Drosophila melanogaster: one gene and its partner. The protein of the gene in region 2 interacts with the protein of the main gene of each other region in a pairwise test. Each region holds a gene or a part of one and is shown on either strand. Other genes may lie near its edges.

What was found.
Region 1: the proteins of Lcp2 (region 2) and Glyp interact in a two-hybrid assay, tested with the Drosophila melanogaster proteins (one large-scale study listed by BioGRID).

What each region holds. Positions count from the first base shown.
Region 1 is NT_033779.5:2,128,994-2,136,950, reverse strand, and holds the start of Glyp (glycogen phosphorylase), read right to left. Parts: upstream 6,139-7,957; 5' UTR 5,940-6,138; coding exon 5,697-5,939; intron 2,513-5,696; coding exon 1,984-2,512; intron 1,914-1,983; coding exon 307-1,913; intron 221-306; coding exon 65-220; 3' UTR 1-64. Other genes in the region: CG4259 (uncharacterized protein), read left to right, coding at 7,744-7,818, 7,881-7,957.
Region 2 is NT_033778.4:8,433,045-8,436,751, reverse strand, and holds Lcp2 (larval cuticle protein 2), read left to right. Parts: upstream 1-1,966; 5' UTR 1,967-2,218; coding exon 2,219-2,230; intron 2,231-2,292; coding exon 2,293-2,661; 3' UTR 2,662-2,955; downstream 2,956-3,707. Other genes in the region: Lcp3 (larval cuticle protein 3), read right to left, coding at 869-1,195, 1,252-1,263. UniProt on the Drosophila melanogaster protein: Component of the larval cuticle.

The DNA of each region.
Region 1 (7,957 bases), on a different chromosome or scaffold from region 2:
AACTTGAACTTTGACTTTAGCAAAAGTAAAGCACATAAATAATAAAATAATATCAAAAATTGATTTAGTTCTGTGGCTGATCCTCCGGCGCTGGCAGCTTCTCCCAGGTGGGCTCCACTCCCCAAATCTCGCGGGCGTACTCGGCGATGGTGCGATCCGACGAGAATTTGCCGCTGGACGCAATGTTGTTGATGGACATCTCCAGCCACTTGGCTTGGTTCTGCAAATTAGGCAAAAGTATCGTGGTTTAAATAATGATCTTTGCTACTTATTTTTCTAATACATAGTTAAGCTATCGAATCTCACCTGGTAGGTCTTGGAGACCAGATCCTGGGCCTTGATGTACGCATCGTAGTCGGCCAGCAAGTAGTAGTGGTCGTACTTAAGCAGAATGTCGGCAATGTTCTTGAACTCGTTGGGATTGCCGGGGCTGAAGAATCCGCCCTGGATTTGGTCAATCACCTGCTTGACCTCGGGGTTGGCGTTGTAGTAGTCGTAGGCATTGTAGCCCTTCTTCTTGAGCGCCTCCACCTCGTCGACGGTCATGCCGAAGATAAAGATGTTGTCCAGACCCATCTCCTCGGCCATCTCAACGTTGGCACCGTCCAGGGTGCCGATGGTGAGGGCGCCGTTAAGCTGGAACTTCATGTTGCCGGTACCAGAGGCCTCTGTGCCGGCGGTCGAGATCTGCTCGGACAGATCGGCGGCGGGCATAATCTTCTCGGCCAGGGTGACACGGTAGTTCTCCAGGAAGATAACCTTGAGCTTATCGCCCACAATGGGATCGTTGTTCACAACGTTGCCCACGGCGCAGATGAGCTTGATGATCTGCTTGGCCACATAGTAGCCCGGAGCAGCCTTGCCTCCGATCATGATTGTCCTCGGGGTGAAGTTGGCTGTGGGATCCTTCTTGATCCTGTTGTACAGGGTGATGATGTGCAGGCAGTTCAGCAGCTGGCGCTTGTACTCGTGAATACGTTTCACCTGAATGTCGAACATGGAAGAGGGGTTGATCTTAACGCCGTAGTCCTTCTCCAGAATGGCGGCCAGCTTCAGCTTGTTCTCCTGCTTGACGCGGGCTACATTGCGCTGGAAGTTGGGGTCCTTTGCCCACTTCTTCAGAGCAACCAGTTGGTCCAGATGCACTGGCCACTCGTCGCCGATCTTCTCGGCGATCAGGTCGGAGAGTCCGGGATTGCAGAGCAGCAACCAACGACGCGGGGTAATACCGTTCGTCTTGTTCTGGAACTTCTGGGGCTCCATTTCGTAGAAGTCATGGAACAGCGAGTCCTTTAGGATCTGCGAGTGGATGGCGGCCACACCGTTGACGGCGTGGGAGCCGACGATGGACAGATGAGCCATGTTGATGCGCTTCTCGCCATCCTCCTCCACCATCGACATGCGGCGCATGCGGTCCAAATCGTCGGGGAACTTCTTCTTCACATTCTCCATGTGCAGGAAGTTGATGTGATAGATGATTTGCAGATGGCGGGGCAGGATCGACTCCAGCAGGGAGACGGGCCAGCGCTCCAGGGCCTCTGGGAGCACGGTGTGGTTGGTGTACGCGCAACTCCTGACGGTGATGTCCCATGCCTTCTCCCAGGTCAGATGCTCCTCATCGACCAGGATGCGCATCAGCTCAGGGATGGCCAGCGATGGATGGGTATCGTTCAGCTGAATGGCCACCTTGTCGGGGAAGTGATCGAAGGTGTTGCGGACCGCCTCCCGGGATCCGAACTTCGAGGCCTTGTAGCGGCGGATGATATCCTGCAGCGTGGCGGCGCACATGAAGTATTCCTGCTTCAGACGCAGCTCCTTGCCCTCGAAGAAGTTGTCGTTGGGGTACAGGACACGTGAGATGTTCTCAGCCAGATTGCGGTCCAGCACGGCCTGGATGTAGTCACCATCGTTGACTGGATAGGTGAAGATAGCCATAGGTTAGTTCTTGCCTTATCAAGGGGACCTCTCCTTATAGATACTTACAGAACTTGAGGTTGAAGTCGATGGGCGACTTGGCGGACCACAGACGCAGCGTGTTTACGTGGTTGTTGTTGTATCCGGGAATGGGGTTGTCGTAGGGCATGGCAAACACCCTTTGGGTGTCCACCCACTTCTTGCCCTCGGGCGTGTCGATCACACGGCCGTAGAAGTTGACCGGCAGCATGAACTCCGGACGAGCCTTCTCCCAGGGATTGCCATAACGCAGCCAATCATCGGGCTCCTCCACCTGCTCGCCGTTCTTGATCTTCTGGGCGAAGATACCGTACTCATAACGGATGCCATAGCCATAGGCGGCCAGACCCAGAGTGGCCATCGAGTCGAGGAAACAGGCGGCCAAACGACCCAGACCACCATTGCCCAGACCGGCGTCCTCCTCCATCTCCTCCAGGTTCTCGATATCCAGACCCAACTGGTACATGGCCTCCTCGCACTCGCTCTGGATTCCCAGGTTGATCATGGTGTTGGTCAGTGAGCGACCCATGTAGTACTCCAGCGACAGATAGTAGACGCGCTAAAAAAATACAGGGGTCGTTATTAGATCTATTGTATCCATGATTAATTAGCAACTATATTGGAAGATCGAAATGTCATAAGATTATTTCATGAGTTGGATTCAGATTTCGTGCATTTCCGCAGTGCATGGGTCACTCACACCAGGTTCAGCTGTACAGTGCATACAATAACTATAATACAACGAAAGCCTGATAAGAGGGGCGCCGACTGCGGCTGAAAGACCTAGTTATGTTTGGCCAGAAGGTCAACCAGTTTCCAACTTTTACGGTTCCCAACGGAATACTCGCTTATCAGCGAAAAATCGCACGGTAATTTCAGGGCAACCCAACTGGAAACTATAAATAGAGGAAGGCATTCACTATCACCGGTTCGATTCAGTGCGAATCTATCGATCGATGTTACGAGGGCATTAATTGGGTTTATAGCAACGCTATCAAGCGATTGCAGGCTGCACTTTGCATGCTGGGCAAACATCATGGCTAAGCATGAATCTATACAGCTTGGAATGGCGATTATTATCACCAGCCAATGCTGGGCTAATCATGGATCGATCACGGATCAGCAATCACCAATCAGCATTGACGACAACATCGCCCACAGTGTCGCCAGTCAGTAGCTAATGGCTCCCAGGGTATGCTAATCCTATCCCTTATCAGTCAACCTACCTATGTAATCTATGCCCTAAAACGCATACCTATCGCACATGATGCTTTCAGATGTCTGATGCTATGCGATCCGGGAAAAAAACTATAGCTAATTAGTTCGGAATGTTTGGAGAGCTTGTTTTTGTGTGCATATTTGTAGGTGAAAGGGGTTAAGGCGCCTATATAGAATCGGGGACTTTCGATTAGGAATATTTTGCAGTCCATTTAGCAGATAAGATATACAGAATTAGGTGAACATGGAGTATGAACTGATTCGGGCAATATGTGCTGGGCAATGGAAATGCTGTGATAAAACACATTATTGTTTATATCTATATAGGTATACCAAAATATGAACTATAAAAGTAGGTATTTTCTTAGTTATGAAATATGAGGTGCACTCAGTAAATACTGAGTTGGAAAAAATCCAAATATTAAAACCAATTCTAAGCATGATCTTCTTTGCTGCAGAAAAAAAAAGAAGCTAATAACCTATTTAGCTTATCTAATCGAAGATAAGAGCTTCACAACAAAACGTGAGTAATCTTCCAGATCCATAAAAAGCTTTTGGAGTCATTCAACTGCCGGCGCTAATGTTTTCCACAGCAGTTTGTTGTGTAGGGTCTTTGATATTCGTTCTGGCCAGTTCTACAGACGAATTAGATGCCAGACATATGTTTTTTGCGGTTTTGATAAAGAGCGCCTCACCAACAAACGACCAGTGTTTGTTTGCCTTTGTTTATTGGTTTTTTTTCCCTATATGCAATAAATAAATGACAGATGTGCATAGGAAGTTGGAAATGCAATAGGTAGTGGCGCCCTGGCATTGAATTTTTACATGATCGGTGATAGCTAAACGCTTTTAATTTGGTGATAAGTGGAACAGTATTTTCGAACTGCTTGTGGAAAACTACAGGGAAATAAACTCTTTTGTGTGACTATTCACCCCGCTGAACTTTCTTCAATTTGCATAAATTGGTTTAGAGACCGATGGACGCCAAGTTGTCTTCAATTAACTCTAAGTACCAATCCACGCACAACAACAGCTGTTTAAGTATCCATAAGATACAATCGTCGTCAGTTCATATATTTCTATTTAGATGGTTGCGTGAGCTAATTGCATGTGGGGGGACAACTAAACAAAATCGGGCCTATAAAAGTTCCACAACCTGAAAGAACTTATATATACATACGTACATATATATATATTTGAGAACGAACAAAAACCGAAATGGTAGCCAAAATAAAAATGAGAGAGGAAAAATGGGGGAAATTTTCCTTGATATTTTTGTCAGTTGGTTGTTGTTAATAACCTTTGATTGACCTTGAAAAAATGTGTGCCGACGCCGTGACGGTATCCACAATTTAGTTGAATTGAAAATATTTATCACCCAAAAGTGTATATAGCTCGAACTTCTAGTCGCCAAAATTGCTCGAGTCAATGGAAAATTAATAGATACATTTTGGTGGGCTTGAAATTGAAAGTGATTTAAGCTGACATTCAGCAAGGACAAAAATGTTTAGCAGCCGATGCTGACAAATTTGCAAATGGAAAGCTCACGCTTTGGGCACGTGTTTGGATACATGTACATATGTATGTATATACATATATTGTGTATCTGATGGATGTGGCTAAAAGGGGGCACTTATTATGCACCCTTGCCCTACTTAAACTGCATCGCCATGGCCCCAGGAAAACTTATTACTAAAAACTCATCAATATGTTTGGATAGAGCTACTTCTATAGTAGCTCGGCGACAGCTGCTAAATGCAGAGCTATTTTTAAGCTTTTGTTGCTTCGTCAGCTGGCGGGGAAAATTGTCAAGTGGGCGCGTAAAAAGGGGGTGGCTGATAAATTCGCCGGCTTTTTGCAGCACCTCTGCAATTTGTTGCAGTGAAAGTGTCACACCTTTTTTTGGCGCTACTTCTTTGGCATTGATCCCATTGCAGTCTTTGCTTTTTGGCAATTTCGCGAATAATTAAATGAAACGAAACAATTATGTAGTAGCAAAACAACGAAAGCGTGGGAAATGCAGTAAAAGCCGAAATTTCAAATAAACAGTGAGCATTCGGAAATTTTTAGAATTTTAGAAAATAAGGATTAAAATAGGATTATGAAATGTTGCATGGAATATTCATTTATAATAATAAAAGACATAGTGGAAATACTTGGGATAAAAGCAAAACTGCTTCAGTTATTTATGAATACGTTTATCGTTTCCCATTTAATTTTTAGTTTTTTTTTTGGCTGAGTGTTCACTGTAAATTCGTTGGCCAAAGCGCATCGGGGAATAAATCAGCAGCGAATAAAAGAGAATGGAGCAGGCCGAAAAAAATGTCGTAATAGCCAAAGAAATTTAGGAAAAAATATTTCAAAGGAAATTATTTCAAAAGTTTTGGTTGCCGCAGGAAGGGATAATCAGGCCTAAGAACTCCAGAGCCCGGATAAAGTTAGGTTAGGTGGTCCGACCACTTCTTTTTGGAAAATTCCACGGACTAAATCAATAAGTGGGTGGCCTGGATGGGCGCGGAACTCACCTTGGGATCCTTCTCGTAGTAGTGCTGCTGCGTGCGAATCCAGCGGCCCACCATGTTGTCCTTGACGGTGTTGGCCAGGGCGAAGTAGTAGTCCCTCAGGGTGGACACATTGCGATCCTTGACCAGGGTGTAGTGCAGGTGGCGATTGAAGTTCTTCTTCACTTCGGTGACATTGCCCACCTCGGCGATCCCGCGCACCGAGATCTGTTTGCGCCGATCGGCGTCGGATTGGGGCTTCGACATGGTGTCCTAGTTATGTATGTCCCTTCTCTGTGGCGGCTCTATATAGTTCTCTGATTCCGTTGCGTGGGTGCGCGTGTGTGTGTGGCGTAGACCCGTTTGCGTGTGCGACAGCGAAGAGGAGACGGAGACTATAGACACAACCCAGACCTGAACCTGAACAGACGACCGTTCGCAGCAAAATCCGGAGCGATTCTCACTTTATACTTTCGGCATACTTTCGGAGATAGCTTTTGCGCCAGAGCTTTTCTCTCAGCGTGCTGCTCCCCTTGTAAACAACTCCCAGCGCACAGTGGGTGCGCTGGGTATCAACTGCTACGAATTATCATCTAGGGGATATAATACAACAATATAGGTTGTTTTTTAACTATACAACTAAATATTAAATTTTCGATTTTTATATTAATCATTTAAGAATGAAAATTTTGTATATTTCAATAACAGATAATAACTTTTATCAGTATATTTTGACCATATCGCCCACTGTGCGTTGCTGATGCAGCGGTTCTTATCTCGCCGGTGCATTTTGCTGTCTCTCTCGCACTTTAGCTATGCTGTATTCCTGCACTGCTCCCTGTGCTCTCGCTCGCTCACTGCCTCTCTCTCACTGGCGCTCTCTTTTTGCCCCAGTCACCTTGTGCGAAGGTCATACATGCGTATTTGTTGTTTATTTTCTGTTTTTGTTTCATCTTGAGGCATTTGTATGCTTTGGAATAGAACGGGTGGCGCCCCCATGAATCGGGTTTGAGCTTTTTGAACCGACGGCTGTCAAATTGAAGCTTTTAACCATCTGTTGAGTGCGGAGAATCGTGGCGGGCTGGATATTGGAGATGCCAACTTGCTAGGAATTCAAACTTTACCAATCTTATGGATACTTTTGTATCTAAGAGATACTTTTAAAATCTGATGCTTTTGTATCTTACAGATATTTTGTGTTTTATATATCTCTTTGGGTACATTCGTATCTTGAGCTTTAAGATTTACGTACTGATATTCTAAAACAAGCGTTTTCAAAAATGTTGTCACAGAATTGATCTATTTAGAAAGCGCACTGAATATATGTGCTCTGCTGTGCCTCACTCGACTTGTGCAACAAATGCTAATCACAGGACAAAGGGCATCTGCAATTCTATCCGAACAATTCAGTTATTCCATTTCTTGTTTATTACTTCCCATAATGGCACTCCCATGTTCAACTACTTGGGAATGCATGCGGAAAAGTCCTTGAAAGGAGGGTAAAGGGGGGGGGTAACATTGCAAAGGACCAAGGCGCCGCTTGTTTCGTGAGCTCACCATTTGTTCGGCTATTTCGTAGCAAATGAAAATGATTAGCACATTTGGCAGGAGGAAAGTGAGAGCAAACCTTTTGGACATCTGCCAAGTGGGCTGCCATCGAAGTGAACGCCATCATTCATAAGCTTGTCTGCTAAAAATTTAAAACTTAATTGGAATCTGCTGCCTCATTCTGCCAACCGTGCGCTTGTTGACTCCTCGCACATATGTATGCGCTATTCAACTAGTTTTTGTTATGTTTTCTTTTCATTTTTTGTATTCAGCTGCGAGTATTATGAAAAAGTTACACTTAGGCGAAAGAAAAGTTCGCTGAGAGAAATTAGACTGCATTTGCTTGGATCGTTGTGAAATAATATAACGAATGCTGCGAATATTTTTTATAATACAAGTGATTTATCTCAAAATACTTTGTGGAATTCTTAAAACGACGCATTTTACTGATAAGCAGAGTGCTGAGTTCGCAGGGTAAGTTCTAAGTACTCGATTTCATTTTGATTCGAACACTCGTTGCGGAATGTCGCTATACTTTGCGTTTCTCACGACACTGATAATCAGCCTTGTGAATAGTCAATACTTTAACTACAATCAGGTTAGTTTATATAATACTTGTACATAGATATAAAAAATACTGAAATGGAAATACGCATGCAGATACGACGTGAAACATATGGCAGTAATCCCAGAGCGACATTTCCCTGGGTGGTTTCTGTGCTCGACCAGAGGGATTG
Region 2 (3,707 bases):
TCCGAAAGCACAGCAATTTGATTGATATTTCTCCAAAAATCACTACAAGATCTTATAACCGTGTAACCTCAGGGAAGTCTGTGTTATTTTTTGTTACGTGTATGACTATTTAAAAAAGGTTAAAAAAAAGATGAAGAATTTGATTTTTACATCTAGGCTTATAATGCCAATTTCAGTTATATTCATAAAAAGACCAATATAAAAACAAAAATTCGACTCGGCTAGTGATAATGATGATGAATATACATACTTTTTAGGTTCGAAAACGCTTCATAATACCCTTAATACCCATAATACCGACATGCGTTCTAACAATTCAAGTGTACCCTTATCCTCTACAAATAATAGATATAAAAAAGTTCCTCGTCGTTTTCATCATACTGCGATCTTATCTGGGATGCATCAGGTTGGCAACATTTAATTACTTGTGGCTGCCTATGAACTTAACTTAAAATAATAACTAGTTATAACCCAGTTTTCGGAAATATGAAATTAATGCAAGGAGATATCGGCTTGTCCAGGTAAGATTTTTGTAATGTTTACATTTATTTTAGATGCTTTAAAGATTTTTGTATTTAAATTAATTTCGTACTATACTATAACAACACAATTGTAATTTAATGAAGGCCAAAGTGTCTTTGATTACTTTTAATCTTCTAATTGTACCTTCTTATACCATATAATACCGGGAGCCTTCTCTTAAATCGAACTGTCAGATTTGTAAAACATGCACTTGGTTTATATTGCAAGGTTTAATTTATTTTCGAATTCGATAACATTTTCCTTAAATTTAAAACAACTGGTAAGAAATTATCCAAACTCAACCTAGCTGTCTCCAATCTTTCATGTTCCTAGTCGGCGGGTTCACTTAGTTCTTGCTGGGGTTAGCCTCGATGTAGGCGATAGCCTTCAGGATGGCAGCTGGGATCGGAGGAGGAGTGGGCAGCAGGTCACTCTGGGGCTGGTATCCGTTCTCGTCAGCCTTGTAGCTCACTCGCACATGGACACCCTCGGGGGAGATCCACTCGAAGACTCCGTCGATGTTGCCGTGGATGTCTCCGGTGGCGGAGGAGGCAGATCCGTCGTCGAGGACCAACTTGCTGACAAAGCCATCGGGCTGGACATCGTTGACCAGCTCCTTGACCTCCACATTAGCGTTGGCGGCCACCAGGGCGGCGAGAGAACAGACAAGCAGCTAGGATAATCCAGGATTAGACTGCGAAGTCACTATGCTCCTCAAGGCATACTTACGATCTTGAACATTTTGATTTGGGTGGATTGTCGGACTAGAAATCTTCTAAGACTGATGACAATCTATGCTCAAATCGGTGTTTATATATCATCAAAAGCTGATGCAATGTGCGTATTATAATTAAGTCAATGTGATGCATATAATAAAAACCGTCTGGGATGCAAATTAGTCGACTTGAGATGGCTTAACCACTTTCATTAGGAGATGAGCATTCTTAGTTATTTATTCAACTGAAATATTCGCCCTAGTCTAACCGAAATGCAAAGCAAACCGGACCAGAAACCAGAATAATTATTAAGCAGTACAATATTTAATTTTCTAAAATTCAACTTCAATATGAACTAAACTTAAGCATAGCATAGTTTTCGGTGTTTCATTTGGTGTGTGGCACGTTGACAACTCTGGCCAAAAGCTTTGCGGGTTTTTTTAAATTAAACAGTGACATCCAAAATATTGAGATACAACAAAATGTCATAGGCAACTAGCACGTTAATATGCAGTATCACTTGCGAAATCGTTTATTCCGGTATATTGTTTATTACCACTTCGGAACCTTTTAAAATAGATGGGACTGCTATCAAGTGAAGTGTATTGGGTTTTTTGATTTTGTACAGGCATGATTGATAAAGACTTGGTCAACTCGAAACGTCATCGATGAGCACAGAATCCGAAAACCGTACTCCATCGCCCCTACAAAATTTCTACCGAAGCATGTTTCATTTCGGAATCTGTTCAGCAGCGCAAGACTTGTTTTTTGACATTTGTATCGCAGAGTCAAGTGGAGAATTTATGGGCCCTGCCTTTTGTTGGCATCATGGGCGTTTCGTGATAACTTAGATTTGGCCCAAAAAGTAATAAGCAATTCGTTTGGAAAGCAACCAAATTGGGAATCATATAAAAAGACTCTGTCGACCAAAGTCAGTTATCAGTCAACGTTCGTTCTCGACCAGACAGAAATCAGCCAACATGTTCAAGTTTGTGAGTGGCTCACAGGACATTTATGAACTCGCCATCTAATTGGTATCATTTCCTCTATCCAGGTGATGATTCTCGCCGTTGTGGGAGTGGCTACCGCCCTAGCCCCAGTTTCCCGCTCCGATGATGTACACGCTGATGTCCTTTCCCGATCGGACGACGTTCGTGCCGACGGATTCGACTCCAGCCTGCACACCTCAAACGGAATCGAGCAGGCCGCCAGCGGTGATGCCCATGGCAACATCCACGGCAACTTCGGCTGGATCTCACCCGAGGGCGAGCACGTTGAGGTAAAGTACGTCGCGAATGAAAACGGATACCAGCCCTCGGGAGCCTGGATCCCCACTCCTCCTCCAATCCCAGAGGCCATCGCCCGCGCCGTTGCCTGGCTGGAGTCTCACCCCCCAGCACCCGAGCACCCCCGTCATCACTAGGACTCGTCACCCGGATCCCGGACCACTCCACGGACTGTTCTCCCGAAACAAATCGCCCAAGTTGTTTAGCTGTACTTCTTGACTTTCAAAAAAATACATGCACTTGCTTATAGCAGTAAAAATGTGTGTGTTCTTCATTGCACTTTTTAGGTAGTTCCTGTAATAATACGAGCTTTTATACCTCTACCTTCGCTGGGAATGCTTCCTTCTACCTTTTATATTCGATTCACTAAATCCATTTATCAAAAATGAGTATATGTGTCCATAAAGAAAAGATGTGCTGAATTAAAAATTAATTTTGTCTTTTAAAATTTGAGAAGGATCTGGGCAGTCTAAAAGATCTGAAAAACAAAAAAGCAAATGTTTGCATACAATTTTATTCTCACTAAAAGTCTCAATGCATTTTTTTTTTATTTTAAGTAGTATTTAAAAGCCAATTAGAGAAGCCAATACCAATGGACAAACTTATTGAAATAGAAAAGCAATGGTCAATGCCACACGAGCCGATTACCCTAGTATATACTCGTAGTACTAATCCCGTGGATTGCCATGCGATGCTTTTTAATGGGTGTGGGGTATCTTCATAGTCAACCCAGATTTCAGAGCACCAATCGTATGAAAGATGTAGCGTATTGACTTGGGTTCAGTTTTGGTGGTTATCAGTCAACGTTCGTTCTCGAGCAAACAGAAATTGGAATCTAAAATGTTCATGCTCGTGAGTAACGGCAGGATACGAACGTATTCAATGTCTATGCTCTCGTTCACGTGGTGATCTGTGCAGTTTTTGGATTGAGTGGCTCATCCCCCATCCCCCATCCGTAGGACGTTTCGAAAGTGACAACGCCGATGTCCACTACCAATCATACGATGTTTATACCGATGGATTCGATTCCAGCAGTCTGCACATATTCAACGGAATCGAGCGGGCCGCCAAAGCAGATATCGATGGTATTTTTCAGGGCACTATAAAATGGATCACCCCCGAGGGCGATCACGTCGAGGTCACGTACGACGCTGGTGAGAACGGATACCAGGCTTCGATCAGC